Linked DNA regions of Rhinolophus ferrumequinum. The protein of the gene in region 3 interacts with the protein of the main gene of each other region in a pairwise test. Links are inferred from orthologs where the notes say so. Each region holds a gene or a part of one and is shown on either strand. Other genes may lie near its edges. The genes, in order: G2E3, PTPN3 and WDR6.

Region 1 (10,241 bases), on a different chromosome or scaffold from region 3:
GAGGAGAAGCAGACACCTTGCCTACTTGTTTTTCTCTCCTGTCTTTTAGTTGCATTGGCACCATTGCACATAATAGACTAGTGAGTAGAACAGAGGAAAAGTGGCATACAAGAGATAGGAATGGGGGAGCAGGGAAGAAATTTGTTGCTCCTCTAGAATGATTTCCAAAAAAAGTACCTCCTTTGTAAGGCAGTAGGTTGACATTAGAGTTAAGTCAATAATGATAATAATAAAAGATGTTAAAGAAAGAATTGCAAAAGCAAGACCAGGAAACATAAGTGACACTTCCCATCTACCAACAGTCCTGGCCCCCTCCATTATCCCCACACACACCCATGCTTTGCTTCTAGGCTAGGTATCCTATTATAAGAATCTGAGGTGACCTCTGATTAGACTTTTTGAATGGTTCCTTCTAGAAGTACACTTCAAGTTTTGTTTCAAGATCTCAGGGATGGTGACTCATCAGGGAAGCATATAGGTTAGGTGACCTTAGGTACCAGGCAGAATATTTGATAAGGAATGCTTTAAGGGCAAAAGCTAGCAATTTATGCTCAAGGTGGCCAGATATTCTGGGAGCTATGTGGGTATAAGAAAGGGAGGCCAGGGTCTGCCAAAAGTATGGGTGAAATATGTTCTTCAAGTGTGGATAGGAGATGAGGATCAAGATAATCTGGCTCATATGAAAGGCAGAAAGGGTTACCAGAAATTCCCTATGGCTAACCATATTGGAGGAATGAGAGACTGTAAAGGACAATTCAGTCCAACAGTGTGTACCGATTCTAGGCAAGTGCTAATGGAAGAATGAGTGCCATGCTACAGGGCCAGATTTATCAGCATTACTATATAGCTGAATATTGTTACTTTTCTAATTAAATATGAAGTCTGACAATTAAGTTCACGAACTCATCCTAGAAAAAGGGCTACATACCTCATTGCTGAATATCACTATGGTCACCTTTGAAGTACTCCCCTTGGGCAGCTATGCACCAGACACCAGTGCCTAGTCCATCCTTCAAAGCAATTCTGGAACTCTTTTTCTGGAATGGCCTTCCGAGCTGTTGTTGTATTACCCTTGATGTCCTGAATTTCATCAAAATGTCTTCTTTTCAATATTTCCTTTATCTTCAGGTAAAGAAAGAAGTCATTGGGGCCAGATCAGCTGAGTAGAGAGGGTGTTCCAATACAGTCATTTGTTTACTGGCTAAAAACTCCCAGACAGACAGTGCTGTGTGAGCTGGTGCATTGTCATGATGCAAGAACCATGAATTGTTGACGAAAAGTTCAGGTCGTCTAACTTTTTCACGCAGCCTTTTCAGCACTTCCAAATAGTCAACTTGGTTAACTGTTTGTCCAGTTGGTACAAATGCATAATGAGTAGTCCCTCTGATGTCAAAAAAGATTAGCAATATCATTGCAACAAGTTGGCGAACTTAATTGTCAGAGCTCGTAATATCATTCTTCATTTTCATTTGTATGTTTTAGGGGGTTCAATAGCCCTAACATGGGAGGCAGCAGCTAACAGGAACAAAGCGGCATAGCTTTGTGAAGTCTCCTAAATGTACCCCCAACTTAGTCAGTAACTTCCTCCTGATAGACAGTTATTTCTAATTAGGAGTGCTTCATAATGCAGTAGCATGTTTATTTCTGGAAGGAGAATTCCAAACTTGAGAAGATTTGATCAAATAATTACTTTGCAAAAGAGTTGTAGCAGTGTATGTCCCCAGTAGATGAGAATGTATATTTTACAACCAAACCATCCCAGTATTGGATGTTATGAATTGTTTTAATTTTTACCAATCCAAAAAAGGAAATTTAGTTTCTGATAGTGTGAAAGTGAGATTGAGTATTTTTAAATAGTCCTTTCTCATTTCCTATTCAACGAAGTTTTCTTTTGTCCATTTTTATTATTTTTCAAAAAATAAAATTACACAAACTGTTTACATTAGCATTGTTAACCTTGTATTATATGTATTACAAATATTTTTTCACTGTCTCTCATTTATATGTTGATGTTTTATGGTGAACCCTGCCAGATAAATACTTTGCACTTTAACATAGTCCTATGTATTTGTTAGGGAAGCAAAATTTTTTCCTCTACCCTCTTATTTTCAGTACTTGGAGTACTGCAAATTAAACTGACAAAAGATAGATTGATAGAGAAAAGGTGTAAAAATTTTCTTTTTAATTTTACATGCACGGGTCCACAGTAAAGAAGTGAAAACCCAAAGAAGTAGTTGGGCTTAAGAGCTTACATACCAATTTAACAAATGGCAAAAAATTGAGAAGTGACTAGACAAAGGAAGAAAGGTTTGGGCTTCTATGAGCAATAAATTGTGGAAAAGTAAGTATAGGGGGGAAAATAATGGTAGATAAGGGTTATTTAGTAAGACTTTTTAGTGTAGACTCCTTGGTTCCATCTTCATCTCTAGTGATAAAGGGTGTTCTCCACAACTTGGTACAGAATAGAGAAGGCGGAACACCTTTAGAGAGGGAAATTTTTGCCCTGCTTTTAGTTAGATAGGGGAAGGGAAGAGAGTTCTTCCTGTGTCTGCTTTTCTCTCAATTGTCTTCAACTCCCAATAACTTTTATGGCAAAGTGTCATACTTTGGGGTGGCATAGTTATCTATTATTTTATGGCTTCTAAGGTTCCTCCCTTCTTTAAGAAGTCTTTTCTAACCTAAAGTCGCAGTTATTCTTCTAATTTGTCTCCCAATACACTTTTATTATATTTTTATATTTCAATCTATAATCCTTCTAGAATTTATTTTGGCATATGGTGCAAGATAGAGGCCTAACTTTGTATCTTCCATATAGATAGATAGTCAGTGACCGTCTTTTCTTGTTAATTTATAAATGAAACATCTTTTTCCTATTAAACTGAAATGCCACCTTTATTATTATATATTAATGATATATATAAATTATTATATATTATTATATATTAATTATTAATATATTAATATCCCACATATAACTGAATTTTCCTGGATTCTCTATGTATTTGTCTTTTTTATGCTAAAAGAATTTTTTCTCTACTACTCTTTGATCATAGTAGCTTTGTGGTAAGTGTTGCTCTCTACTAAGACAAATGATCTCCTCCCAGACTCTGATAATATTTTTCTAAAATATCTTAATTCTTATATCTACCATTTAAAAACATTGAAATCACTTATGTTCTCCAATTGCACTTTTTAAAAATATTAAGGCCTATAGTTTTCTTTAAATTTATTTCTAGGCATTTTGTTGTTATCGCCACTCATGTTGGTTGCGGTAAAAATCTTTCAGAGTAGATTCTAGGAGCCCTTCTGCCAAAACACTTTGTATTGACTCTTGTATGTAAGCTGATGACCATTGATCTCAAAAGTGATTTTGATTTGTTTTCTGCTGTAGATGGGTGAATAGGAGGAGGAAAGCAGGGAAGAGAGGTTACTTTAGCTATGGTTAAAATTTTCAACAGATTTAGTTCTCAACTAGTTCAAAATTCTAAGGGGGTGGTCATCAGAAACTAAATAACATCCTTTGTCCTTTTTTTCTTCAGTTTTTGCAGCTTTTATTAAGTGTAATACTCATCAATGTATTTCCGTAATTGAAAAAAAATGTATTAGCTATCAGAATACATATTCTGATGGCCAGATTTTTTAGATTTAAATGTGCTCTGTTGTGCATATTTTCTTTAAAAACCTCTTAAGTCTGTGTTTACTCAGTCTCCTTGATTTAGTCAGTGGGTACCTGTATTTATTGCACATCTTCTTTGTTTATGAAATGCTGTAGCATTACTTGAATACTGATTGTATGGAAATTTACCTATAGTCACTCTGAGGGGAAAAAGGAGTAACTGTTTAAATAGTACAAATAACTTGACAGTCCACTCAATAAACACCAGCCTTAGGCAATTTATACATTTAAGCCCAGCTAATTCTATGGGGGGAAAAAAAGTCAATGACTTTAAGGGGTTTTCCACTGCGTTGAAAAATTAATCTCATTGGTCTGACTGATGGCAGGGCTGCTGGGTGATTAACTTTGTCAATATTTTGGAGGAAGAAACTGAGGAAATCATTAAGGGTCCTAAAGAAGTACTGACTGAGGAAAACTCAGAGAACAAATATTTAAAAACTTGCCTATATAGGTCATATATATATATATATATATATATATATATATATATATATATATATACATACACATACATATATACACACACACACACACACAAACACACACACACACACATATGTATATTATTTTATAGATATATAGTAATTTTAGATTGTTTTGTGGGCTTTCCAAGGGCAATTTGAGTATATTTAACTTTTGCTTGCAGATTAATTTAAGAATTTAATGTCTGTAAAGAATGAAACTTAATGGGGGGCAGATGCCAAGAATTATGAAAAACACAGGAAAAAAAAAATATATATGTATGTATATATACATACATATATATATACATGTGTATGACATAGTTTCTGCCTACAAGGAACTTGAACAATATATTTAATGGGGCCATATTAAAAATGTGGGATATTAAACAATGTAACCTATCATGAAGACAACATGTATGGTCAAACCATCACTATATAATTGCTGAAAGAAAGAATGAATGAATGAATGAATGGACGGTAGACTATTCAAACATTATACATTGTACATTTAAACCTGATTCTGTATTAGAATATATTCAATTTCTAACAATCTTGTTTTAAAAACAATTAAAGCTGCAAGAGTAAAACATGCTTATTAAAAAATTCAACTAGTTATAATGTGTTAAAAAATTCTCTTCCCATCCTCATTTACCAATCTGACTCACAGAGATAGCTTTACAATGTATTCATCCAGAAACTTTGCCTGCCATATACACACACATGTTTTTAAAGGATACTGTATGTAGTCCTTCTAAAGCTGATTTTTTTCATTATTTCATTTGACTACTTACTGATACACTTCATTATTTTTAGTGCCTGACTAGTGCCAGTATATCAGACTCTAAAGTCAGAAACTTACTTAATCATTTTCTTATTGATAGACACTCAGGTTATTTCTTATTTTCCACTGTTAAAAACAGTTCATCAGTTAATAGCTTTAGACCTCCTTGTGTCAGATTATCTGTGAAAGAAATTCCCAGAAATCTAGTGAATCCTTCAAACTGCAGTTTTGACGGAGGCTGAAGTGTTCTATCATGACTTTATTTGAACTGATCAGGTTAGGTAAATCTATGCTATTAGGTATGAGGATGAACTGGTGGCAATGTCAAGATCAGAAGCTGGAGACATTTTGGATCGAGGATACACTGTGCAATCCTTGATTAAATGACACCGTTGTCCCAAGAGTCTCACAGGACAACTACATAATCATCTTATAAAATGGTCTCTAATTAGGGGAGGGGGGAAAATTTGTCGCTTTCTAACACTTAGCCTCAAATATTTTATTTGGAACCAGGACTGGTCCTGCTACTTGTGGTTGGAATAAGGTTGATTAGCACAACCTTGGCTTTTTGTCTTCCTCAAACACGGGAGGAAAAAGAGGTTAAAAGTCCTGCCTCTGCCGGGATAGAACTAAGCAGACCCAGGGAAACTCCATAAGGGGGTTGTTGTTTTTCTTGCTGTTGCTGTTGTTTACGCGAGGGTAAGGGAAGGGGTACAAACGTCCGGGCTCCAGTAGTGCTTTTATTCTCTCCCTATTTGAAGAAATGAAAACTTCAGCACGTCTCTGTCCATTTCAAAAACAAGAGGATCCGTTCCAAAGACACCAGGCAGAACCACCGACCCCCCTCGCCGGGACTTCCTTTTTTTTTCTGTGGATCTACGTAGGGAGCGAGACAAAAGAAACTGAAGCGACACGGTAGAGCCACCGCAAGTCGCTCCGCGAGAGGAGCCGCGGCGCGCCGGGTTCTTCCCACCTCCCGCGTCGCCGCGGGCTCCGCCTCTCCAGGGGCGGGGCTACGTGCTACTTCCGGGTCGCGGACGGAAGTGGACGAATTTGAATCGTGCTGGCGGTTGTATGAGGATGCTCGCGGTTGGCCTCGCGCAAGAACCAAGTAGTGATACGGCGGTTCTGGAGCTTCTGCCCCGCCTGCCTCAGTGAGTGGACGGGGAACGGGAAACGACAGAATATTCCGAGGTGAGAAGCGGGACCATCGCATGGGAAAGGGGGTCGGGAGGCGGGCCAGTGTAGCCGGGGCCTGGGACTGCCTTGGGGGTTTGGGGAGCGGGGACAGTGTGGGGTCTTGGAGAAGTCGGGGCGCCGGAGAACGTTTCCCCGGCCTGCGCTCCCGATGGCTTGGCGTACCTAGAGCAACTCAGTGTACTGTGAAATCGGAAGCCCCGCACGCCCAAAATTGAGCTGGTTTAAACGGTTGACTTTCTGGTAATAGCAGGTTAGTATTTTTGCCGGTTCGGCTGGAATATTGAAGCTTCAACAGTAGTTACCTAGTTGCGAAGGCGTTGCCATAGGTAAAAGAATCTTTCTTTATTAAAGATGGAAGGTTGGGGACAGGTTTAGAATGAGGAGATGCTCTGTGGCTCTGAGTTCCTCCTAAGAGGGAGACCCGTAGAAGTCTATTACTTGGGCCCGCAGGGAAATGACAGTCTTTGAAATGCCTGCTGGGAATTTAAACTGAAATCTGAGTATCCTTTGTATTTAAAACCCGGATATTTTTCGTTCACGGTTGACATTTTTCACGTACCCGAGACTCTTGCTCATTTAAACTGGCCACAGTAACAGCGGTCATTCACAAGGTTTGTTCACAATAAGAATAAGAATAAGGTTTAGTTCCACAGACCTACCTTTTCACCGCCTTCCTTCATTGGCCAGTTGGGTTATTGTGGAGTCATTTTGGAAGTACTCTAGTATTTACAGCTTAGGGTTTTCTTTTCTTTGTTTTAGTTTTTTGGTGTTTTTGGTTTTTGTTTTATTTATTTTTAATGATGAACTACCTAAAATATCAAACTCTAGCGCCGTAGCAAAGTCATGCCTTCTGGAATAGTTAATGGTGTACCCTAAATGTAAACTATAAATGAGTACTTTAAATGTGTAGAAATGTGCCCTATTGAAAACTGTCAGGTTAATTTTGTGTTGCTTTATAGGAACAGATATTTTGTTTCTTTTAAGATTTTAACACCAGGGTATCCTACCATATAAATGTATAAACATCTTTTTAAAAGTAGGACTTAGTAATATTCAGAATAGACGTTCCTTCATCCAATGCTGGCTACTCCCACTCTCCTCCTATCTCTGCTAATGAACGTTTGTTTCATTATTAGCCAGTAAAAATACAGCTTTCAACTTTCATTATTTATAATTGTTGAAATTTAAAATTTTGTGTAAGATTGCATTAAAGAAATTAGATATACTATCCTAAAGATTGCAGACAATTGCTGCTCATTTTATATAAGCTACCAGTAAGTGGTAATTAAAAAAAAAAAAAGTCTCTGCATTTTAACCTGTTTCTTTTCCTTACCTGGACTCTTTTCATTGAGTTTTTGTTCTATCTACCTAAGTCAGCGAGTTTCAAATTTTATTTCGTACACATTACCTTGAAGGATTTATTAAGCTCTGATTCCTGCACTTCAAATCTCAGAGTGGGTCTGGAAGATGGGGTTGAGGAATCTGTAAATTTAACTGGGAAGTTAGAAAATTTGGCCAGTTTTCTGACTTGATCTTTCTTAGAGAGGCTTTATAATATATAGGTTAAGGGCATGGAACTGGTGTCAAATTGCCTGGGTTTGAATTCCATATCTTCTATCTTGGTGAATGTTCTATGTAAGCTTGAGAAGAATGTATTCTGCTATTGTTGGATGAAGTAGTCCATTATATCCAATTGGTTGATGATGTTGAGTTCAACTATGTCCTTACTGATTTTTTGCCTGCTGAATCTCTCCATTTTTGGTGGAGGGATGTTGAAGTCTACAATTGTGATAGTGGATTTATCTGTTTCTCTTTTCAATTCTATTTTGCCTCGCAGAGTTACGTAACACCCTGTTGTTCGGCACATACATGTTAAGTATTGTTATATCTTCTTGGAGAGTTGACCCCTCTGTCATTATTTATTTCTGATAAAGTTTCCTTACTTTGAATTCTGCTCTGTCTGAAGTTGATATAGATACTCTTGTTTTCTTTTGGTTAGTGTTAGCATGGAATGTTTTTCTCCATCCATTTACTTGTAATTTGTATTTAAAGTGGGTTGCTTGTAGACAGCATATGATTGGGTCTTATTTTTTGATCCACTCTAACAAATCAGTCTTTTAATTGGTACATTTAGACCATTGACATCAAAGTGATTATTGATATAGTCAGTTTAAGATCTACCATATTTGTTACACTTTTCTATTTGTTGCCCTTGTTCTTTGTTTCTGTTTTTGTCTCCACTCTTTCTGCCTTTAGTGATTTTTTTTTTTTTGATTTTTTGATTTTTTCATTGGGGAAGGGGAACAGGACTTTATTGGGGAACAGTGTGTACTTCCAGGATTTTTTCCAAGTCAAGTTGTCCCCTCAATCTTAGTTGTGGAAGGCACAGCTGAGCTCCAGGTCCAGTTGCTATTGCTAGTTGCAGGGGGCGCAGCCCACCATCCCTTGGGGGAGTCGAACTGGCAACCTTGTGGTTGAGAGGACGCGCTCCAACCAACTGAGCCATCCGGGATCTCCTTTAGTGATTTTTAATTGAGCAATTTGTATGATTATATTTTCTCTCAGTTTTTAGGATACCAGTTATATTTTTATTTTACTTTTTTTTTTTAGTGGTTGCTCTACAGTGCAATATACATGTACAACTAATATAATAAAATACATTGTAGCTGTTGTTAGTTTGAACAAACTATTGTCCATTAGCTCAGTTAAGAATAAGAAGAATAAAGGTTCTTATTTTACCTACACTTATTCCTTATTTGGTGTTCTTTCTTTATATGTGTAGATTTGAATTTCTGACCTTTGTTATTTTCCTTGTCTCTCAAGAACTTTTAACATTTCTTGCAAGGTAGGTCTACCGGCAACGAATTTCCTCAATTTTTGTCTGAAAAAGTTTTTCTCTTTCACCTTTTTTTTTTAAGTAAATTTTATTGGGGAACAGTGTGTTTCTCCAAGGCCCATCAGCTCCAAGTCATTGTCCTTCAATCCAGTTGTGGAGGGCACAGCTCAGCTCCAAGTCCAGTTGCTGTTTTCATTCTTAGTTGCAGGGGCGCAGCCCACCATCCCATGTGGGAATTGAACTGGCAACCTTGTTAAGAGCTCTTGCTCTAACCAACTGAGCCATCTGGCTGTCCCTCTCCTTCACTTTTGAAGGATAATTTCAAAAGATACAGAAAAATAGGTTGGTATTTTTTTCTTTAAGTACTATAAATGTTTCACATCACTGTCTTTTTGCTGCATGGTTACTGAGCAGAAGTTGGATGTAATTTCTACCTTTGTTCTTCTGTAGATAAGGAGTCCCCCTTCCCCCCGCACCCCCCTACCCTGGCTTCTTTCAGTATTTTTAAATTTATCTTTGTTTTTCTGAAGTTTAAAACAAACCTAGGTATAGTTTTGGGGCATTTATACTGCTTGGTGTTCTCTGAACTTCCTGGATCTGTGGTTTGGTGTTTGGCATTAATTAATTAGTCCTTAAGTTTTTATTGTGTCAGGTATTTCTTCTGTTCCTTTCTCTTTTTTTCTTTCTGGTATTTCCAAAATGTGTATGTTACACCTTTTGTAATTACCCCACAGTATTTGGATATTCTGTTCTGGTTTTTGTTTGTTTGTTTGTTTTTTATCTTTTTTCTCTGCTTTTCAGTTTTAAAGTTTCTATTAAGATATCTTCAAGCCCCAATTCTTTGTCCAGTCTACTAATAATCCCATCAGATACATTTCTTTATTTCTATTACAGTGTTTATCATCTCTCTAGCATTTACTTTTGGTGCATTCTTAGGATTTTTATCTATTTATTAGGTTGGTGCAAAGGTAATTGCAGTTTTTGCAATTATTTTTAACCTTTTAAACCGCGATTACTTTTGCACCGAACTAATACATTGCCCATCTGTCCTTGTATACTGTCTGCTTTATCCATTAGAGCCCTTAGTGTATTAATCATAGTTGTTTCAAATTCCGGGTTTGATAATTCCAACATTCCTGCCATGTCTGGTTCGGATGCTTGCTCTGCCTTTTCACATTGTGCTTTCTGCCATTTTGTATGCCTTGTAAGTTTTTCTTGATAGCCAGACATGATGTACTCAGTAAAAGAAATTGCTATAAATAGGCCATTAATAAAAATCATATG
Region 2 (9,527 bases), on a different chromosome or scaffold from region 3:
CTTCACTTCATGCAGCTTTCCTGCTTGCCCCACCAGCCCCCTTCCTCTAGACATGCTCCCTTAAGGGCCTTTGAACTGGCTGATCCCACTGCCCAGAAGAGTCTTGCTCCAGATTTCTGCATGAATAGCAGCTCCCTCATCTCCTTCAGGTCTCTGCTGAAGTGTTTGCTTAAGTGATTAAATTTCTCAATCCTATTGAAAATTGCAACTCCCCACCCCGCCTCCATCATTCTCCGTGTCACCTTTAACCCCGGTTTCTGAACATATATATGATTCACTTATTTATAATGTTTGTTGTTCAGTGTCTGACTTGCCCTATTAGAATGCATGCCCACAAGAGCAGAGATTAGTGTTTGTTTTGTTCACTGATGTCTCCTACGCACTTAAGAGCACTGCCTGACACACAGTAGGTGCTTAATAAATATCTGATGAATGAATGAATCGACGACAATCACCTCATCTCTGTTCTTGTATTCATGCTAAATTTGTTCATCAGTTTTACAGACAAAACTCTTTGGCAGTAATACTTTGAAATCGGAAGACTTTGTGGTTTTTTTAATGGATAAAACTTTAGGCTTAAAAATCTGTTTCTCAAAGTGAGATCCATGAAATCCTGGAGTCCCAGGAATACAGGTTGAGGGAATGAGGGTCCCGTGCTGGACTAACACTTTTCTACAGGCTCCTGACTTGACTACTGACCACTGCTTCCTCTCTCTCCCTCCTGGGCCAGGAGCAGACATCCTGTCGCCATCTGCCACTGCTGGACAGGCAGGGCGGGCTTCACCCTCTGTGAGGGGTGAATTTCTGTACAGTTCCAGAGTAGCTATTTTCCCTTTCTTTACATCATCTTCTTCAGTTTGCCGACTTTTAAGTTTGCTTCATTCTTCCTGATAATAAAAGAAACACAGTGTAAAATAAGATTTAGGGAACTATAAAGACATACAAAGAAATAGATACCCAAAGACTTGAAATTCTCCTAATTTATAAAAGATACCTTCTGTATCTTGTTTCTCTGCCTGTAAATGCAATACTCAGAGCCACCATTAATATTTTGGTGCAGTTCTTTCTGGTCTTTTTTCTGTGAATCTTATTAAGTTGAAACATAGGACATTACTGATGTTTAACCATTGTGGACCTACAAAATGGCAGTGTTATATGGTTTTTAACCGAGCAATTCACCCAGTTGAAGCTATACTATGCTAACTTTACATTGAATTCTTTTCACTTGTCATTATAACAGCACCACATATTTAGGGATTCTTGGGCCCTTCCTGAGCTTGCATTAACAGCACAAATAATTGATGAGCATTAGCATCTCAGCTGGGAGCCCTGCCCTGTAAATCATTCAGAGAGGTCCACGTGGTACCCAGACTTCCTGAGTCTTGATGTGAATGACAATCCTCAGTGATTCTTCCAGGAAACTCTTCCTATAAATGCCCCCAGCCAATTGCTTGCATGCAGCTCTTGGCACCAGAATTTCTGTCCAAATGGCAGCTTCTGGGAACGCTGCTAATAACTGTGCAGTTGCTCATCTCTTGTTCCTCCTCACTTTTATCAATCTGGCCCATTACCAGTAATGCATATTTGGTTTGCAGAATTTCTTCCTCTCCAATGAAATGACCCTCTTTGACTTTTTGTGTTTGTTGTTGTTGTAATTTAGTGATTTTGGGGCCAGTTACAGTCTCTTTAAAAAAAGAGAGCTGACTTTTTTTTTTTTAATTTATCAATAGTAGGAAGGCTACTTTTAGAGCCCTGGCTTTCTCTCTGCCAACATCATCAAGGACCAGCAGCTATGTATCTTTTCATCACAGCAAAGTCCTGAGGAGTCCATGGACCACATGGTTCCATTATGTTGAGAGTCTGCCTCCAAAATGATTGCCACGGACAGTAATCTGTGTGGGTCCTCTCTGGATTGGTCTCATTATCTGAGACTTGGTACAGCTCTATTCCCAATGGGGCCTCTATTTACTCAAGATTTGGCTGGGTTCATTCAATACACAGACTAAGAAGATTATATGTCCATCCAAAAGCCTCATTTGCATAAGGTTTATGACGTAAGATTAACTGTCATTGCTGATAATAACATCATTTCACTCCAGGTGCAACAGCTTAAAAGGATGGACTTTAACATTTTGGCCCCAAGAATAAAACAGTGACAGGAGACCAGAATATTTAAAGGTAATCTGTGGCCTACAAACACATCAAAGGGTAGAGAAAATATGGCAAAAAAGACACAAAATGGAATAATATACGTTTTTTTTTTTAATGATCAATACATGGTAAGCTACTATACAGAGAGGCAGTATTATAAAACCTAACACCCTGGCTTTGAGGTCAGGCCAACCTGTGTTCAGATCCTGACCCTGTTTCTTACCAGCTGTAAGCTGAACAGCTCCTGAATGTTTCCTGTTCTGTAAAACTGAGCTGAAAACACCCACTCTATAAGGATTAAAGACAGCAGATGAGTAAAACACTGATTACACTTGAGCTTGATAATAGTGGTTATTATTGTTGTTATTATTATTAGACTTATACAAAACTTTAAGAATTTTTAATTTGATCTTTTAAATGTTTATGATTGCAAACAGAACATTGTGACATTAATAAATACATTTAAAAAGAAAAAACAATCCCACTACCTCCTAATCAGACTATTACATATTTCCATATCTCCTTGTAAGTCCTGGTGAATGTGGAGACAAAATTTTTACACAGTGCATTTGTGTTTTCAGTTTTTTATCACTTAACAATAGGGGAAAACATCGTATTTCCCCTATTGCAGCATGGTCTTATTTAGCGTAAAATAGTTATTTCCATAAATATACCATAACCTAATTAATCATTCCTCCATTTTCAACATTTATTTCCAGTTTTGGAGATATTCTTTCCTTTTGTTCCTGTTTCTGTTATGGTAATTTGAAATGCACAATTTTAGATATATTTGGTCTTTTTCCTTAGACGTACCGATATATTTTAGCCCTAATTTGAGAACGCTGTTTAAGCTAATGATTTGTCTGTGAGGAAAGAAAAGGTAGTTTCAACCTAGGTCCTTGTGGAAGGCAAATTATGAGAACTCCAAGAATTCACATGTCCACTAATCTCAATTTCCTCATCTCAGCACTTATAAAACTAGTATAAGGCTAACGGATAATTGAGGTAGGCACTCAAGAAATGGATCTTTAAAGTGTACTAAATGTTCACGTTCTTGATTTAATTCAATCCCGTCCAGATTCAACCGGTAGGTATTCGTATTTGAGGCACAGAGAGGGTAAGTTGCTTGCCCTGTGTCACACAGCGGCTGGAAGAGGACAGAGAATGCCTTTTGCAGACTCTGAATTCCCAGCTTTCCCACTGAGCTTTGAAAAAAAAAGTCCCCAGTCGCATCTAGCCACCCCCCCCCCCATCTAAGAGGGGTTCCGTGGTGTTCTGCAGGGGTAGTCCTCAGCTTGTCCAGGAGGATCCACCTCCCGGGCACACCGGCCCCGCCCAGCTCTGAGCATGCCCAGTGAGCACCCCGCCCGTCCCAATGGTGCTGGCTGAATGCCACAGCTCCAGGTTTTTCCGACGACCAGAGGTCGGGGCGGGGCGGGGCGCGGAGGAGGTCCAGTTCCTAGGTCTCCCTGGCTGCGTAGGAATTCCCCCGACGCCACCACACTCTGGCGGCGCCAGCCGCTGTGGCTCTTCCCCGGGATGGGCGACACGGGGACAGGGACCGAAGTGGGGTACCAGGTGCTGCTGGCAGCCGCCCTATGGCTGTAGGCCTACTGGTCCCCTGGATCTCAAGCATTCGGGTCTAGACAGGATGGTTCCAGCCATCGATCCATCGCTCCATCCCTTCATCCCTTCATTCACATATTCATTCAACAAATCATTTTTGAGCACCTACTGTGTGCCAGGCGCTGTTGTAGGGGCTGGGACACTGCAGCCAAGACAGGCAAGACTACAGTCCCAGAGCTGAAAATCCGGAGATGAATACACAATAAGTAAGCAAATCAGATACACAATAAGTAAGCAAATCAGAAGAAAAGTCAGTTACTGGCCTCATCCCCTGCTACTGTGCCTTCCTTGCCATTTCCTAAGCGGTCCTGTGCATTAGAGTATTTGCACTGGCTATTCCCTCTTTAGGGAATGCTCTTTCCAATTTATCCTGCGTGGCTGAAATGTTACCTTCTTAATGTCACCCCATCTGACCACCTCATTGAAAATTGTACTCCCTTCACCCTCAAGTCTCCTTACCCTATTCTTTTTCCCTCATAGAACGTATCACCTCCCAATACACTATATAGCTTGCTTACTTGCATGTTTATTGTCTGTTGCCTTGCCTCTCTTCTTCCAAACTCCATGGGGGGAGGGGTGGATGCGGGGATGGTCTATTTGTTCACACGTGAAGATCCTGAGTAGATGATCAATAATTATTTGTTGAAGGAATTAATGGATAGTGGTAAATGTGAAGAAAATAAAGCGAGGACATGAAGTGTCCAGGGGCAGGGGGCAAATTTAGTAAGGTGGTAAGGGAAGGCCTCTTGCAGAAGGGGGACAGCCACATGAAAAGCTGAGCGAAGACGGCCCACAGAGAGGCAAAAGTATGTGAAGGCTGGCCAAGTTCTGAGTGGTGGTGGACAGAAAGGTGTTAATGGGGGAGAAGGGGCTGCAAGAAGGCAGGTGTGAGATGAGGTGGAATAGGAAAGCAGGAGCACAGATCAAGTAGGGGGCCCCCAAATCTTGGGAAAGTTTAAGCCTGGAAGCTTACTAGTGGAAGGGGATAAGCACTGAACTGGGGATAAGCACAGCAGGACCCCAGCAAAACCACGGACCCTCTGGCCAGTCTCCTCATTTTGAAGATTTGTTGAGCGCCGACTGCTTGACATTCACAGGTATGAGATCACTGAGGGCCGGGCACATAGTAGGTGCCCAATAAATGGTTATGGAAGGAATGACTGCGTGCACGCGCGAGGGGACTCGGGGTTGCCCAGAGCCCGGCAGGAGAGCCCCGGTGGTCCTGCGAGGCGCGTCCCGGCAAGCAGCCCCGGGCGGGGGCGGGGGCGCCCTGTAGAGCGGCCCGGGCTCCCGCCCCCCGCCCCGCGCGCGGGCCCGTCGCGGCCAGCCCGGCCGGCGGGAGCCGCCCGCGGGCGGCACTGGGCATGCTCAGACGGCGGCCAGGTCGCGCCGCGAGCGAGCTTCCGCGCCGCCCGCACGCGCGACGTACCTGGGCGCCCCGCGCCCCCGGATGCTGCAGGTACGGACCGGCGTGACCCCAGCGGGTCGGGGGCAGGGTGCGGGGTGATCAAGGGCCGGGGTCGCTCTCGGCGCCGCCCCGCCCCCACCCGTCCCCAGGAGCGTGGCGAACGCGCGGGCGGGCTGGCGGACGCCGCGGCCCCGGGGTCCCGGTGCCACGTCGGGGCAGGGAGGGGGCGCCCCTCCTGCGCTCACCTGGCGGGGTCGGGGCGGGAGGGAACAGGCCGGGCCGGGTGGGGCTCGCTCCGGAGCAGGCTCCGGGACGCGGCGGCGGCGGCGGCGGCGGCGGCGGCAGCGAGGCGTGGGCGTGCGCTCCGACCCGGGCTGGGGCGGACGCGACCCGCGGAGCTAGCGCAGCCCGTGACTCCGGAGGGCCCAGCGCCACCGCGACCCAGGTCCTCGGCGCCGAGGGGGCGCACTGCCCGCGGGGCGGCCAGAGCTTCTCGGCTCCCAGGGCGAATCCGCCTCTCGGTTTTCAAAGATGGCATTTCCTGGGCCTGGCACGAACTCCAGTGCCAATAAATCCTCCCTGTTCTGCGGGCGATATGGAATGATTTATCAGGTACCTGCGGTGAGACAGCTGCAGTAGGGGAGTGTATGTGGGTGCTCCCTGCCCCCCGGAAATTCCCATTTTCAGCAACCTAAAGTTACTGAGAAGTTGCTATTGCCTTAAAAATTCATGGGAAGTTGAGACAACTTGACACCTGGGTTTTCCGAGGTGGTGGAAAGAGCTTGTGACTTGGAAACTGGAGACCTCCGATCAACTTGGGCACCCCCTTAGGCAGCTGGTGACCTTGGGCGAGTTGTTTAACTTCTCTGATGCTCAATTTCCTCCCCTGCAAACTACCGGTAATAATGCCCACCTTACTGGATTGTTGGGTGGATTAAGTGGGATAAATTATGTGGAGGTGTTTGGCACCGTGCCCGGCAGAAAGCAGGCCAGCAGTTGGCGTGATGTGAATTTAATTCGTTTAGAGACCCTCGTGACTCCCATTTCACCAGGAAATTAGAATTACGAAAGCATCTTCAGGGCCTAGTGGCAGAATGACAGACCCTGTCCTTGTGCCCTGGAGAACTTCTACCGAAGTCAAGGGCTTTGGAAAAACAATTTAGCCGAATTGTAATTGGAGAGCATCTTCTTTAAAAGCAGTTTTATACATTCAGAAACTCCAGAAGTTGGCAGTTCAGCTTTCCTTACAAAAGAGCTGTTTTGTGTGATGATCCATCTTGCAAATGTTTAAGCAGATGGTGCTTTTTGAAAGTAAAACCTGGTTAGGAAGGTTTCTGTTTCAAAAAGCTTCTAGACCCAACTTTAAGTGATTGTTTAGACCAGGGTTTCTTAATCTCATGGCTGGGATTAGTTAATTCTTTGTTGTAGGGCCTATCCTATACATTGGAAGATATTTAGCAGCATCCGTGGTCTCTACCCAGTAGATTCCAGTAACCATCCCTTTCCCTCTTTCAGTTGAACCAACCAAAAATGCCTCCAGACATGGCCAGGTGTTCTCGGGGGGTCCAAATATCCCAAATATCTTTAGAACCTCTGCTGCTTTCTGTCATTAGCTTATCCACGTGGTCTGAGAGTTTCATCTTCTGTTTGTACTGTAGTAACTGACTTTTGTATAGCTTTATAAAACTGCACAGAGACCATCCACATGCATCAACTCATTTAATTTTTACAACTCCCTGTTGAGGCTGGTGCTATTCCCATCTTACAGGTGAAATCGAGGCTTTGAGCAGTCGATTACACATTATGTGGTATAGCTGCCTCACAACTCAGGTGTTCTGGTTCCACGGGCAGGTCTTTTTCTTCTGTATCAAGCTTGCCCTTTATGGTGTGGAGACTTTCAAATAGATGACTTTCCTGATGATTAAATCAAGATGTAAAATAGGCTGGAAGCTGGAAACCTTTCTGAGATTGACTAGTTGAACGTTAACAATAGTAGGCTATTATCTGACAGAGAGTAGGTCGTTCTAGTTAAATATTCTAGTTTATAGTGAGCGCCCATAAATCCCACGTACAGTTAATGGAATACCAATTTGCAGAGAATTAGAGTAGAATAAAACGTGCCTAATACTCTATATTGATCCTGAGCTGTCTCTGGTGACTTGCCATCTCCTAAAACCGACTCTTATATGCAAATTAGACATTAGCTGGAGAATGTAAAAGGTCAAGTTACTGAAGGCATTTCAGAGTAGCTCAGGCATTCTGTTCTGTATGGCAGTGCAGTGCTGGGCATGGGGGATGCAGAGTTGGCCAGTGGACCCCAATGAGCTTCACCAGGGTGCCTGGGGGAACTTCTCTGCCTGGTCAGGCCAGACACAATAGAAGGCTTCAGGGACAGCTTGGGGCAGGAAACAGAACCTAAGTTAACACATAGTCAGATTCAGGGTCCCACACTGCTTCACCCCTCCTGTGTCTGAGCCCTCCTTTCTGCATTTTGTCATAGAGATGTATGTATCCTGGTAGCTTTTAACTTCTGGTCAGAGACAAATCTTATCCCTGGAAGAAGTTGGGGTTCCAGGCTGGTAAATGGTCTGAGGAGATTGATTGTTGACTGTGAACTAGAAGGTTTCACATACATTGTTTCATTTCAGTGCCCTCCCTCTCCCTCTCTTGCAGTTAAGGAAACTGAGCTAGCAAAGGTAGTGTGGGGCCAGGAGCAACAGGGATGAATTGTGACCTTGTGAACCTCAGGTCCAGGCCCACGGAGGGATTCTGTTTTCTAAAATAGACAATGTCCATCAGAGGGGCTTGGCTTTGGGGATTGGAGGGAACAGGACATGTGGCACCCTACCTCCTCCTAACCCTCAGCGTGGTGGCAGGCTGGGAAGGGACCAGCAATGTGTGGTCCCTCCCTCTCTATCTAGGAGAGTGCCTGTTGACCGTAATCCCAGTGCTGACCTTCCTTCCACCAGACAGTGGTTCCTGGACAGCAGGGCCGACCCCCATTCTTCTCTTCCCAGGGTCTGTTGCAGGAGCTGGAATGCCTAAGGCACTTACCCTGACGGTGACAGGCTGGTGGGGGCGGGGCAGCCTGCTGGTGTTCTTCCCAAGCCTCCGCTCTTCTCACCGACTCTAATAGGGATGGGACAGGACCTGGTCAGTGTCCACACTGCTCTGGTCTGGGTCTCAGAAACTACAGGCTCTGATGTCACAGGTGTCGCCTTTCGTCTGCCTTAGGGGGCACTAAAGGGAGTACTTGGTAGGCCCCTGGCTGCAATCAGATCAGGTCATGGATTCCAAGACCCACAGATCTTGCATCACACAACTTCTGGTTGTGCCTCCAGTGAAGACCAGCTGTGAGCACAGATTTAACAGCAAATTCAGACAATTACTGAGTCTATACCATGTGTCCAGCACTAGGGTTATGGAGATGAAATCTGAACACATCTTGGAAGGATTCATGGCAGAATTAGGAAGACAGTGACATTTGCGTGTGTGTGAGTGTGTGCGATCTGTCCATCTATCATCTGATAACTGCTTTAAAAGACGCTAAAGCCAGATGCAAGAGAGACCGGTGGAGGCAACCACTCATTCTGATGGGCATCAAGGAATGTCGTAGGGAGTAGCTGGCATTTGAATTCAGCCTTGAAGGTAGAAAAAGATGGCATTCAGGGGCAGACAGAACAGCAGGTGCAAACGCTCAGAGGCGTGAAGAGAGCGTGTGTATTTCAGTAGTGGCGACTCTTCCCCAGGTCCTGCCTTCTGAGCTTGGCTCATGCAGGACCCACTCACCTCCTGTGTTAGGGTACTCCTCCATCTCTGCTGGGGGCCTAGCCTCCCGCAACCCAGGAGTAAGTGCCCATTCTCCTTCTTTTCCCCCCAGGTAGGAGTGACACCTCTGGGTTGTCTCTGAGGCCTAAGCACTTTCTGCCAGGATGCCTCTGGTTTTATTCATCACTAATATGGCACTTCCTGGCTTCCAGGCACTGCTCCTGAATGCTTTCCAAATATTAACTCATTCATTTAATTCTCGTGGCAACCCCCCGGGCCCATGTTGCCTCTCCAGGTGGGGGCCGCTTGGTAGGTAGGTGGGCAGAGCTCATAGCCCCGGTCTGTGTCCCTCTGTGGGTGATGTTCTGATTGTACAGCTTCTGGCGACGCTTCACACCAGCGTGCTGGGAAACAGCCGAGTCTGTGAGCTGTGGTGGAGTGCTGACGGCCATGGATTTTTCTCCCTGACCCCGTTTCCTTCAGGTGGCCTGCGGGGCTCCGCTGACTACACTTTCTGAATCAAAGATTGGGATCTGTCGTCTGAAAAAGAATGTTTGTGCTGCTTTTTTGTGCA
Region 3 (10,200 bases):
GGTGACCGAGGTCACACCCTGCTTCCCATGCAGAGAAGGGAGGGTAGACACAGGGCCCCACTCAGCTGAGGCGTCCTCGTCCCCACCACTGCCACTGCCCACTCGGGGTGCTCCGCTACCAATCACAGCCTTGCCTCCCACCCCAAGATCCTTGAGCAGAGCTGGTCTGGAGGGGAACAGCAACACAGAGCCCCGGCGGTCCCCGCACACCAGGAAGTCACCGGGAGGTAGGAAGGCACTGCATGTGTGCCACCTCTGCTTGCTTGGAGGCAGCAGGTACCGGCAACGTTCCTTGACAAAGATGGCCTTGCCCGAGGGTGCAGCTGAGATCTCCAGGCATGCCACCACGCCCCCAGGGCCCGAGGCCAGCAACAGAAGCTCCTCGTAGCCACGCAGGGCCCAGCTCACGCTGTACACCTTCCCTTGGAACAGGGTCAGGTCCACAGCTGCAGTCGGAGTATTGATGGGCACAACCTTGACACGACCCTCCCCATTGGCCATGGCGCACAGTCCGAAGCCCTCAGGCCCAGGGGCTGCCTCCAGGAGGCAGTAAGACTGGAAGCGCTTGTCCTCTAGCAGTTGCTCCCAGCACTTGACCTCGAGGTCATACAGGTACAGGGCCCCTGCATCAGTCACTGCCAGTACTCGCCAGGAGCCAGCCAGTGTCACCGCCTTGAGGACACCTGGCCTGCTACGGGACTTAAAGCAGAGAGCCGAGACCCCCGAACCTGGGTACCCACGCCCTACCAGGTGCCACAGGCGGATGCCTGAGTCATCGCCCCCGGTGATCACCCAGGCTTGCCTCTCATGGGCAGCTAAGGCCCGGATGCCACGGCCCTGGTGGCCCCGAAACGCCTGGAGGATGTCACCCTCGTGGCTCCACACCAGGCAGACACAGTCCTCTCCTGCACTGACAAGGTAGTTCTCCAGCAGCTTCACCTGCCACACACGAGCACTGTGCCCAAAGCAGTGCCCAACATTCTGTACCCGACCCCCGGGCACCCGCAGGTCACCCACCTTCCAGATGCGAACACTTCGGTCTTCTGAAGCTGTGGCCAACAAGCCCTTGCTTTCCAGGTATGACATGCTGAAGATGACACCCACATGCCCACTGACCCGACGGTCGGGGGCCACAGGTTTACTGTCCATTAATGCGGTTGCTGGGTACCAGACCAGGAGCTGGTTGGAAACAGCACCCGCCACTACGGTCAGCTCCTTCCAGGTGTCTCCGATCAGACAGGCGGAGGAGAGGGTACACCTGTCTGTGCAGGGTACCTCCTGCAGGAGGCAGCCTATCACCGGGTCATACAGCACCACTGAGTTGTGGCCCAGGGCCAGCGCTATGTTCCCCTCGAGCCACCGTGCATCCCAGATCCAGTCAGACATGTTCCACAAGCCCGAGCGCCAGAGCTCCCGGAAGCGGCCCTGTCCCCAGCTAAGTTTCACAATTCGGAGTCCCTTGCTCCCAAACACAGCCACCATGGCCTCAGAGTCAAGGTTGCCATTGGGTTCTGGTCGCACCCGGAATCCATGGATAAGATAGTGGCCAAGCAGGTTCTGCACGCGCCTCATCATCCGCAGGTGCCCAGCAAAATCCAAGCTGTACACCAGGACATCGGGCCCCTCACCTAGAGGGAGGCAAAGAGCCACATCAGAAGTCCTCACTTAACCCTGACGAGCCGTGAAGAGCCAGGGAGCAGGGAAAAGTCTGCACATGCAGCCTGTGAATGTTAGGACACGCAATCCTACAGGCTTGAACCCTGAAAGATCCTTGCTCTCGGCCCCAGCTGCACTTTTAGTGCTGATGCTCCGATCCTGCCACTCCCGACTTTCAGTTCAACCACGAATTCCTCAAACCCACAGCCTCCTCCTGACCCCACCGAGAACCCAGACAGGAACCTTTTCAGCTTCAGTCCCACAGTCCTTAGCCCCCAACTGCACATGAATCTAATTGACCCTCCCTCCCCCAGGGGAGCGGTTGTCCCACTAAGAGGACCTTTCCCCCTTAGGACCACGGCAGAACCCCTCCTGACTTCCAGAAGCTTCTTCCCTATATCTCAGAAGATGGGAGTGTGCTCCATTTCAATGGGGAGAACCAGGAGAGGCAGCCCCCACTTTGGCGGCAGGGGCTCCTGTGGCCCTCAGCGGCCTCCTGGCTGCCCCACAGGCACCTCCCAGGCTATTAGCTCATCCTCAAGTTCTCCTGGCGCTCCTCAGCCCAGGGACCATTACTCCCTCTCCCCCAGCCCCAAACCAGGAAGCCCACAGCTTACTTCTCTTAACTTCCCACATCTTCTCTGTCTCCAAGTTCTGTGGATTTCATTTTCTAAAGAGTTTGCAAATCCTCCCCAGCAGTGACATTGGTCCTGGACATCACATCTTAACCTGACATCACCCTCCACCCTCCTGCTGCCACGTGGTCAGCAGTCTCAATCGTGACATTCAATCAACATTCATTGGGCATCAGTTAAGAACCAAACAATGAACTGTACGCTGGCGTAGTGAATAAGACAAGCAGACCCTGCTCTGTGGATGAGGCAGACTAATTAAGCAATACCACAGATGTGCACTACATCATTATAATTTTGGTAGGTTCCAGGAAAGAACCATATAGGTTGCTTTAGGAATATAAACTACTCCAGTGGTTCTCAATGGGGGCAATTATCCCTCCAGGAGATATTGGCAATGTCTGGAGACATTTTTGATTGTCACAACTGTGAGCTGTGTTACTGGCATATAGGAGTGGAGGCCAGGATGCTGCTAAACATCCTACACTGCACAGACAGCCCCTCACCCAAAGAACCATCTGATCCAAAATGTCAACTGTACCAAGAATGACACCTTGAGGACACATCTTTTAGGCTGAGGAATCACGGATGAGCAGTGGTAAGCCAGAGGAAAAGCAGTTAGGGGGTAGGGGGAACCTTTCTTGACAGAGTATATAGCAAGTTTGATGTCCTTGAGGTGAGCAAGAGCTTATTGTGGCTGGAACCAGAAATGAAGGGCTCAAGGATGGGCTAGAGAATGCTACCGAGGGGGTCAGGGAGACATAGCTGCATGGCCTCAAATGACGGCAATAAAGGTACAGATGCCACAGGTACGAAGTCCGAATCCACCAGATGGGAAGTCACAGGAGCAGGTGAACTCACTAGAAGAGCTTTCTAACCTGTATTTCCCAAGTCATTCCCCTGCTTCAAACCCTTCAACGGGGCCTCCGCACCACCTTTAGGGATAAAGTCAGATCTAGAGCTAAAATGGTCTGGCCTCTGCTCATTTTTCCAGCCTCTTCCAGATCCCACCCCTGCTCCAGTAGCACAGGAATTCCCTTTCCCCCAAAGTGACAAATTCTCTCAGCCTCAAGACCTTGGCATGCTTACCCTCTGCCAGGAACACACCCCTTTTCTTCCCCTAGTTCATTCTTGTGGTTCTATAGGTTTCTGCCTAGGCATCCCCTCCTCCAGGAGCCTCAGGAATTTAGCTCATGGTAGGAACCCTGGGTTCCCAGAGCCTCCTTATTAGACCAAAACTGGGCCATCCTTCCTCACCCCCACCTACCCCTCTTGGGATTGGTAGAAGCTCACTCAAGGCTTGAGAGAAGCACCCTGCCTTGGGACACATAAAACTCTGCAGCAGCAGCATCAGTCACTAGTGGCTTCCAGTCGGGCCTCACTGCTCCCCAGAGCTCTGCCGCCTCCGGCCCCAGGTCTTTGCCAGCCTGTGCTTCCCAACCCGGCCCTCCTCGGAAGGGAAAGGACGTCGGATTTCCACAAACATCTCAGGAGGGGCTTCAGCCTTCGCCTTCCACTGCCTAAGCACTGGCCTACTCAGAAAGGTCTCATCCTGGCTTTCCTGTGACCCCATCCTCGTCATAGGATCTTCATCACCGCGCTTTCAGGGAAAAGCTTCAACCACCCCCGAAGCCACACCCCCGCCTTTCCAGGCCCTGCCCTCCTCCGAGGGCACACCGGGGCCCCCGGACCCGCCAACCTGGGTGGGAGGGGATCCTCATCCGCAATCTCCCCGCCCCATCTCCTCCAGAAGGGCCAAACCCCGCCCTACTCATCGAAGGGGCCACACACCTCTCTCCCTCCCCTTCCCTCGCTTCCAAAACGACTGCGTGTCCCTGCACCTTCCCGCGGCCCCACCGCCCTTTCCACTTCAACTGCAGGTTGCGAAGGGCCTCGGTAGCCACATCGGTGTTTTTGTCTCCTGGGCCCCTCAGGTCGGGTCTCATACCCGCCACCTCCAGGGCTCTGTCCCACCTCCGGACGGACCTCCCCCCGTCGCCCGCCCTCCTCCTCGGGGCATCCCTTTGTTCCATGCCCCGCCCATGCGAGCACTCGGCTGCTTCTCCGCTAGCGCGCTCCTCAAGCCAAACCTCACCCGCCAGCAGCCGTTCCCCCACGCACTCCAGACCCGTGACCGGGAGGAGTATAAGCTCCGAGGTTGCCCGCGGCCAAACGTAGTCCTCATGAGCGTCCATGGCGGTCCTCTAGCCGCTGCGGCTGCCACCGCCGAGAAGAGAGGAGCTCTCGCGAGACCGGTCTTCCCCGCGCGCGGCGCTGCCCATCTACAGCGCCCTTAGCAACAGGTAGCCGAGCCCGCTACCGGTGTCCAATGACGACCCCTTGCCCCACACAACCCAGCTAACGATTGGCGGGGCCGCCCTCGCCCCTCCCCCTCACGTGACACTCGCCGAGCTCTCATGGTGCGGCCCAATCCCCCTGCCCACTCTACCTTCCGCAGACCTCACCTTTTCAGCCCAGCGGCTCAAAGCTGTGTGGTTTTATTTGACTGGGCAGCATGGGTCTGTACACAATAAATAACACGAATATAGGAATTGTGCCCTAATCGCGGCTGGAGGCGGGGATGGGGCGAGACATCGGCCAGGCCTTTGGCCTACAGCTGGACAAGGGAACTGCAGGGCCCGCCGACCTTGGGTGGCAGGCGACCTGCCGCTGGAGGCCAGGGCTGACCCTTCCCTCAGAGCTCCACGCGCGCGTCGCGGTAGGCCCGGTCCAGGGTCCACTCTGGCTGCGAGTCCGCGCCACCTTCGCGGGCCAGGCGCGCCATCTCTTGTTGGAACAGCGCCTGCCGCGCCCGGCTGGGGTCCACATTGATCCAGTTGTTGGCAATCCACTTAGTGCCTCGCGTGACCAAGCAGCCCCCGTGCAGCGAGTAGTCGTCCACATCGCCCACCCAACCTAGGAGAGGAGGATGGTGTGAGCAAGGGAGGGGACCAGAGGACCGCTAGGCTGGTCTGATTTGAGCTTGGCCTCATACAGCCCAAGGACACAGGGTAGGCCCAGCTGTGCACATCTTCCGTGGCAAACATCTGGTCCCAAGGCCACCTTGGGAGCTCAGCATCTCACCAACTAATGCCTTGTCAACACCGCTGGCCCTCTGAAACCAGCTTTCTTGCCAGGCTGTCCAGAGCCCTTCCCAGCCTTGGTTGGTGAAGTGGGAAGGCTGGGGCATCAGGGAATCACGGGTCCAGATAACCCAGGAGACTACACAGATACAGGCCACTGAAGCCACTGAGGATGGTTTTGGGGAGGCATTAGGGGCAGAAAGCCATTTGTAGGGCAGCCAAAAACAGCTCACCAGGGTGGCAGTCCCAGCTGGATAAAGGAAAGCTTCCCTCAGGGCATCCCTGGCCTGGCCACAGGCTCTCACCTTGCCCATCTGGCAGGTAGTTGTACCAGAAGACTGCTGTGCCCTGCCGGGGCTTGACACGCAGGTTCCCTTTTTCACAGTGTCTCCGAGTGTCACGGAGGTCAACATCATCCTGAATCAGGCTCTGTGGGCAGCAGGGTGGTGGGTTTTCAAGCTGTCCCCATTGTTTGGCCAGCAGCCAAGGCCAGATAGCCAAAGGTAGCCAGAGGGAAATGAGTCAGATGTGCCCAGGGGACCACCGGGGCCCTCATTCCAGATCTGGAGGGGAATGAATGTACCATGTTTGCCCAAGGCCCTGCCATCCCACCCAAGTAACAGCCCGGTTGGCTCACCATTTCATCATAGGTCCTGTTGTCTGCTACAGGGAAGACAGTCTCTCCCCCACCGGTGACGTTGTTCAAATAAAACAGCACTGTCATGTAGCTGTAAGGCAGGGGGGCCATTGAGCATGTCCCCAGCAGGGGCTGCTCCCAGGGGCTTTACCTGTAGGCAGGATAAGCTGCCCAGGTTCCCAAAGGCCAGAGGGGCAGGCTGAGATCAGTGACCACAGGGCAGGTCAGTGCCAAGATATCCCTAGCCCGTTCTTCCCACAAGCCTGGTCTCTTCCTGTGTGTCACAGTATTTTTTGTGGCAGATATCACAGGTGCACTTAATTAAATTACGTGGCCCTGACCAAGGGCCCGCTGGGAAAGGTAGGCTAGCAGAAGCAGCAAGATCATGGAGAAGAGCTGGCTGCGACGAGAAGGAGCTGAGTCACAGCTGCCACATATAGAGGAGAGACCTGCCTCTATGCCTTGGCAGGGGCAGGGGACACAGCTTCAAAGGAAGAAACTGAGTCCTCCGGCCGTGGAAGCAGGATCGATACCCGAGAAGGGGGCAGAAAGAGCTGGGGTCTGGCCGCTGAGACAAGATGGCCACCCCCTTTCCTGACACTTGGTAAACCACCTGGGGGGCAGAGGTAGGAGTATCCCCTGCCAAGGGACATGCCCACAGGGCAGGGCTGTGACTGTGTCATGGCGGTGCCTGGCCTGGGAGTTGAAGGCAGCCCCCAGGTGGGAGGTACTTGCCGGCAGGAGGTCTCGAAGGGTACAGATTCATTGGCTACTAGCTTGGTGTGGGAGCAGATGGTCTCTGGGTACACAGGCCCGCTGTCCACATGGGCATGGTAGTGGCCTCCCTCTCCGTACCGCACCACCTGCAGGGGCTCGCTGAGCTCCACGATCTCAGGTGACAGGCGGGTGAGGCGCAGCACCCTGGTGGGCAGCAGGCATTCAGCGGGGCATCCCCATGCAAGGTGGCACCCTGAAGGAGCTGGCCACAAGCTCTGCCCCTGCCCACCTCCCCTGGGAGCCCCTTAAGCCACCCCAGTCTGGTCCTATAGGAGCAGGAAGAGGTTACTCTTAATGAGCCCTTCTCCCTGGATGTTAGAGACACCCACCGGGTGGGAGAGAGGAGATTTCCACTAAATTGGGTGGGGGACACTCCCCCAGGAAGGAGGTTATCTAAAACCCCTGGATGCTCAGAAGCAGGGGGTCCTGTAGACAGAGATAAGAGGTCATGTCTCTAATTAGCAGAAAATAGACATTCAGTCTATCTCTAATCCCAACTGTATACTGTTTGCCCACAGTTAGGGCTCATTTGCCTTTGTTAATTGCCTGTCTTTCGATGGGTCCCAATCCTGGTCTAACAAGTGGAACTTCATCCTGAGTTAGCTAATCAATTCTGTCCTCTCCACCCCAGCCAAGGCCTTCTGTGGACGCCCTGCATGGTCTCCCCCGCTGCACCGAGAGGACAGCATCGGGTGCTCACCTCTGGCGGATGGCACGCATGACGTGATGGGCACCTTCCCCCTGGTAGAGCCATGTGTGGTGGCTGTTCCGCACCAGCTCGCTGGACTCTGCCTTGTGTCTCCTCATGTACTTGTGGAAGTCCCGAAGGTCCATGTTGGAGAACTCCTGCAGGCTCAGCACTCCTGCACGGGGCACCCACCATCAGTGCCCACCAGGCCCATGCGGGGAGGCCAGTGGCAGGCTGCACCTTCCTACCTACCCTGGCCTCAGGCACTGGGGGGCCATGTGCACCTGTCCCCCAACCTGGACTCCTGGGTCAGACGAACCTGGCTTCTGTCACATCAGGCCCTACAGGAAGACCCAGAGAAGTTCATTTCCTCACTTTAAGCCCTGAAGTGGCCCCCAGCCAGAAGAAGCCCAACTCCTATTAGATTGGCCAGAGCAAGGTCTCCAAAGGAAGTTTGAGCTACATGACCTGGACCCTAGGCCATGCACTGCCCCTGGCCCTCCAGCCTGGCTCTACAGAGCATGGTGACCACCCTTGGTCCTGTAGAAGGTGAAGAAAGAGAGCAGTTAGTGCCAGCTTTTGTCTAGGGCCTTCCACACTACAGTGTATAAGCTAGGGCTGGGCCCCAGAAGACTTCACGACTCAGGTCCCATCCTGAGTGAAACATACCTGTTCAGTCCTGCCTGCTGGGTTACCAGATTACCTTAGCAAAGAAAGCCACGCTCCGCAGTGAGAACACTCTCCCTCTATTCCTTCCCAACCCACAAAACAGGGGCTCCCCCCTCTTGGGATTCTGGAACAGGAGCTGATATCTTTGCTCCATATTATCCAGGCTAACCCAAGGGAGACACCTTCCTCTCTTTTGTCCAGATTTCTCTGAGGATGGGGGACACCCAAGGGCTTTGAGCCTGTCACCAGCTCTGTCCGTAGGGAAATACAGCAGCATGATGCCGCTCTAGCCACAGGTCTCGGGCAGATTTTTCACTCTGGGTTCACCAGCCACAAGGTCATTCTTCCAAGTCCTATTTGACTGTTGTATCTTCCTAACTTGGTCAAGAACTTGGGCATGACAGAGGTGACTACACCTCCGAAACCTCCTGAGAGTTATTGTCAAAGGTTGGGGGCACTTGCACGAGAGCTTCCCCGCCCACACCCACACCCAGCAGTTAGAATGACTCCAGGTGGGCAAGAGGAAGGCAAGGGAAACCTTGCTCAGACCAGAGACGGTGTCTGCTAGAGCGGACCCTGTGCCTGGCTGGAGAGAGGCAGATGGAGCAGGTGAACAGCCAAGTTCAATCTGTCCCTCTCTGTCCCTTTGCTCTCGCTCTCCCACTGTGCCCTCTGCCAGCCAGCAACTCTACCTCCTGTACCTCAGACTCTGCCTGATGAGATTAAAAGAGTCTCCAAAAACCGCCCTCTAGACTGTCACTAAGGAGAATGGGAAGGCCTGCCTCCTGCCTATTTCCTCAACTCCTTGCCTGTGGCTACTCTAGAAGCTGGGCATAGAGGCAACCTGGCTACGGGGACAGAAGGCTCCCAGGAGCAGAATTGTGGCGAGGTATGCACTCACCGTCACCATCAGGGTCGGCCTTGATCGCGGTGTACATCTCCTGAATGTTCTCCGGAGTCATCCACCGTCCATTTCCCAGGCGAGTCTGGGCCAGGACCTAAAGCACAAGACGGTCCCTCAGTGGGGTGGCCCCAATGATGGAGAGCCATCAGAGTACAGGCAGCTACCCAGTTCTTGCTGTGGGGCTAAGGTTTCAGGTGACAGGGCATGGGCGACGGCACAGGACAAGCCTGAGCTGAAGTGGGGGTAGGTGGTGAGGTCAGGCAGCATCTGGGGAGGAGACCAGGAAGACAGCCAAGAGCCCTGAGGGCCACGGGTACAACCAGCCCTGCTGGGACTAGGGCCTCCGTGGGGAGCACTGTCAACTGGTTGGAGGACACAGTGAAGGCCAGGCCCGTGTCTCGCTCAGATACCCCAGGTGAGCTGTGGGAGCCCAAGGCCTGGGTGTGAAGAGCAAACAGGCAACGGCAGCGGCCTGGCCAGGGCATGAGCACCACGCCCCTTGGGAAGACCAGGCTCAGTGGGGCACTTGATATAGACAAGGGACCCCACACCTCGCCAAGACCTGTCTCAGAAGCCTGGGGGTAAGAGGCATGCCGAGAGAGAGATGCAGACTCCCCCTCAGAGTTGCCACCCCGTCCACCATGAAAAGTTCCACGGGGCTCCCCCCTATGGCAGCCAGGAATCCAGTCACAGATGGCACAACACCCAGGAAATGTGGTAATAAATGCCATCCCTCCCAGGCAGATTCTTCTGTTAGCCTCTGGGATTCCTGGGGCAGCAAGGAACGCCCCGGGGAATGAAGGGGACAGTGGGCCTGGGCATGCCCAAGCTGATATGAGGTGTCATCTGACTGTTGGGGCCAAGCCTGAGCATGACAAGTGATGTGGCCACCAGAAAGATAATTCTGGGCACTCCCCACCCACATGCTCCTCACCCCGCTATGCCTACTCCAGGCCCTAGGATCCCAACCTCGCGGAGCTGCAGGCGACCATCACGGTTCTGGTCCAGCAGCTGGAAGAGGTCCAGCTGGCTGACCTGCATTGTGCCCATTGCCTCCTCGTACTCTTCAGTGGGCAGGATCTGGCTGCGCTGTAACCCCTTCATCTGTGCCAGGTGGATGATGAGCCGACACTCCGCGTCACTCAGGAAGCCAG

The links.
Region 1: the proteins of WDR6 (region 3) and G2E3 interact in a two-hybrid assay, tested with the Homo sapiens proteins (2 studies listed by BioGRID and IntAct). The two-hybrid records come from large-scale screens. The link is inferred for Rhinolophus ferrumequinum from reciprocal best matches to the Homo sapiens genes WDR6 and G2E3.
Region 2: the proteins of WDR6 (region 3) and PTPN3 interact in binary tests that used the Homo sapiens proteins (3 or more experiments, as listed by UniProt). The two-hybrid records come from large-scale screens. The link is inferred for Rhinolophus ferrumequinum from reciprocal best matches to the Homo sapiens genes WDR6 and PTPN3.

Annotation. Positions count from the first base shown.
Region 1 is NC_046289.1:79,632,516-79,642,756, forward strand, and holds the start of G2E3 (G2/M phase-specific E3 ubiquitin-protein ligase), read left to right. Parts: upstream 1-5,979; 5' UTR 5,980-6,115; intron 6,116-6,299; exon of another isoform or gene 6,300-6,371; intron 6,372-10,241. UniProt on the Homo sapiens protein: E3 ubiquitin-protein ligase which accepts ubiquitin from an E2 ubiquitin-conjugating enzyme in the form of a thioester and then directly transfers the ubiquitin to targeted substrates. Essential in early embryonic development to prevent apoptotic death.
Region 2 is NC_046295.1:62,474,274-62,483,800, reverse strand, and holds the start of PTPN3 (tyrosine-protein phosphatase non-receptor type 3), read left to right. Parts: upstream 1-5,137; 5' UTR 5,138-5,236; intron 5,237-5,557; exon of another isoform or gene 5,558-5,797; intron 5,798-9,527.
Region 3 is NC_046300.1:7,236,551-7,246,750, forward strand, and holds the start of WDR6 (WD repeat-containing protein 6), read right to left. Parts: upstream 4,579-10,200; 5' UTR 4,484-4,578; coding exon 4,384-4,483; intron 1,630-4,383; exon of another isoform or gene 1,629-1,629; coding exon 1-1,628. Other genes in the region: P4HTM (transmembrane prolyl 4-hydroxylase), read right to left, coding at 4,984-5,204, 5,677-5,800, 6,009-6,099, 6,744-6,929, 7,486-7,648, 9,044-9,140, 10,016-10,200. UniProt on the Homo sapiens protein: Together with methyltransferase FTSJ1, methylates the 2'-O-ribose of nucleotides at position 34 of the tRNA anticodon loop of substrate tRNAs. Required for the correct positioning of the substrate tRNA for methylation.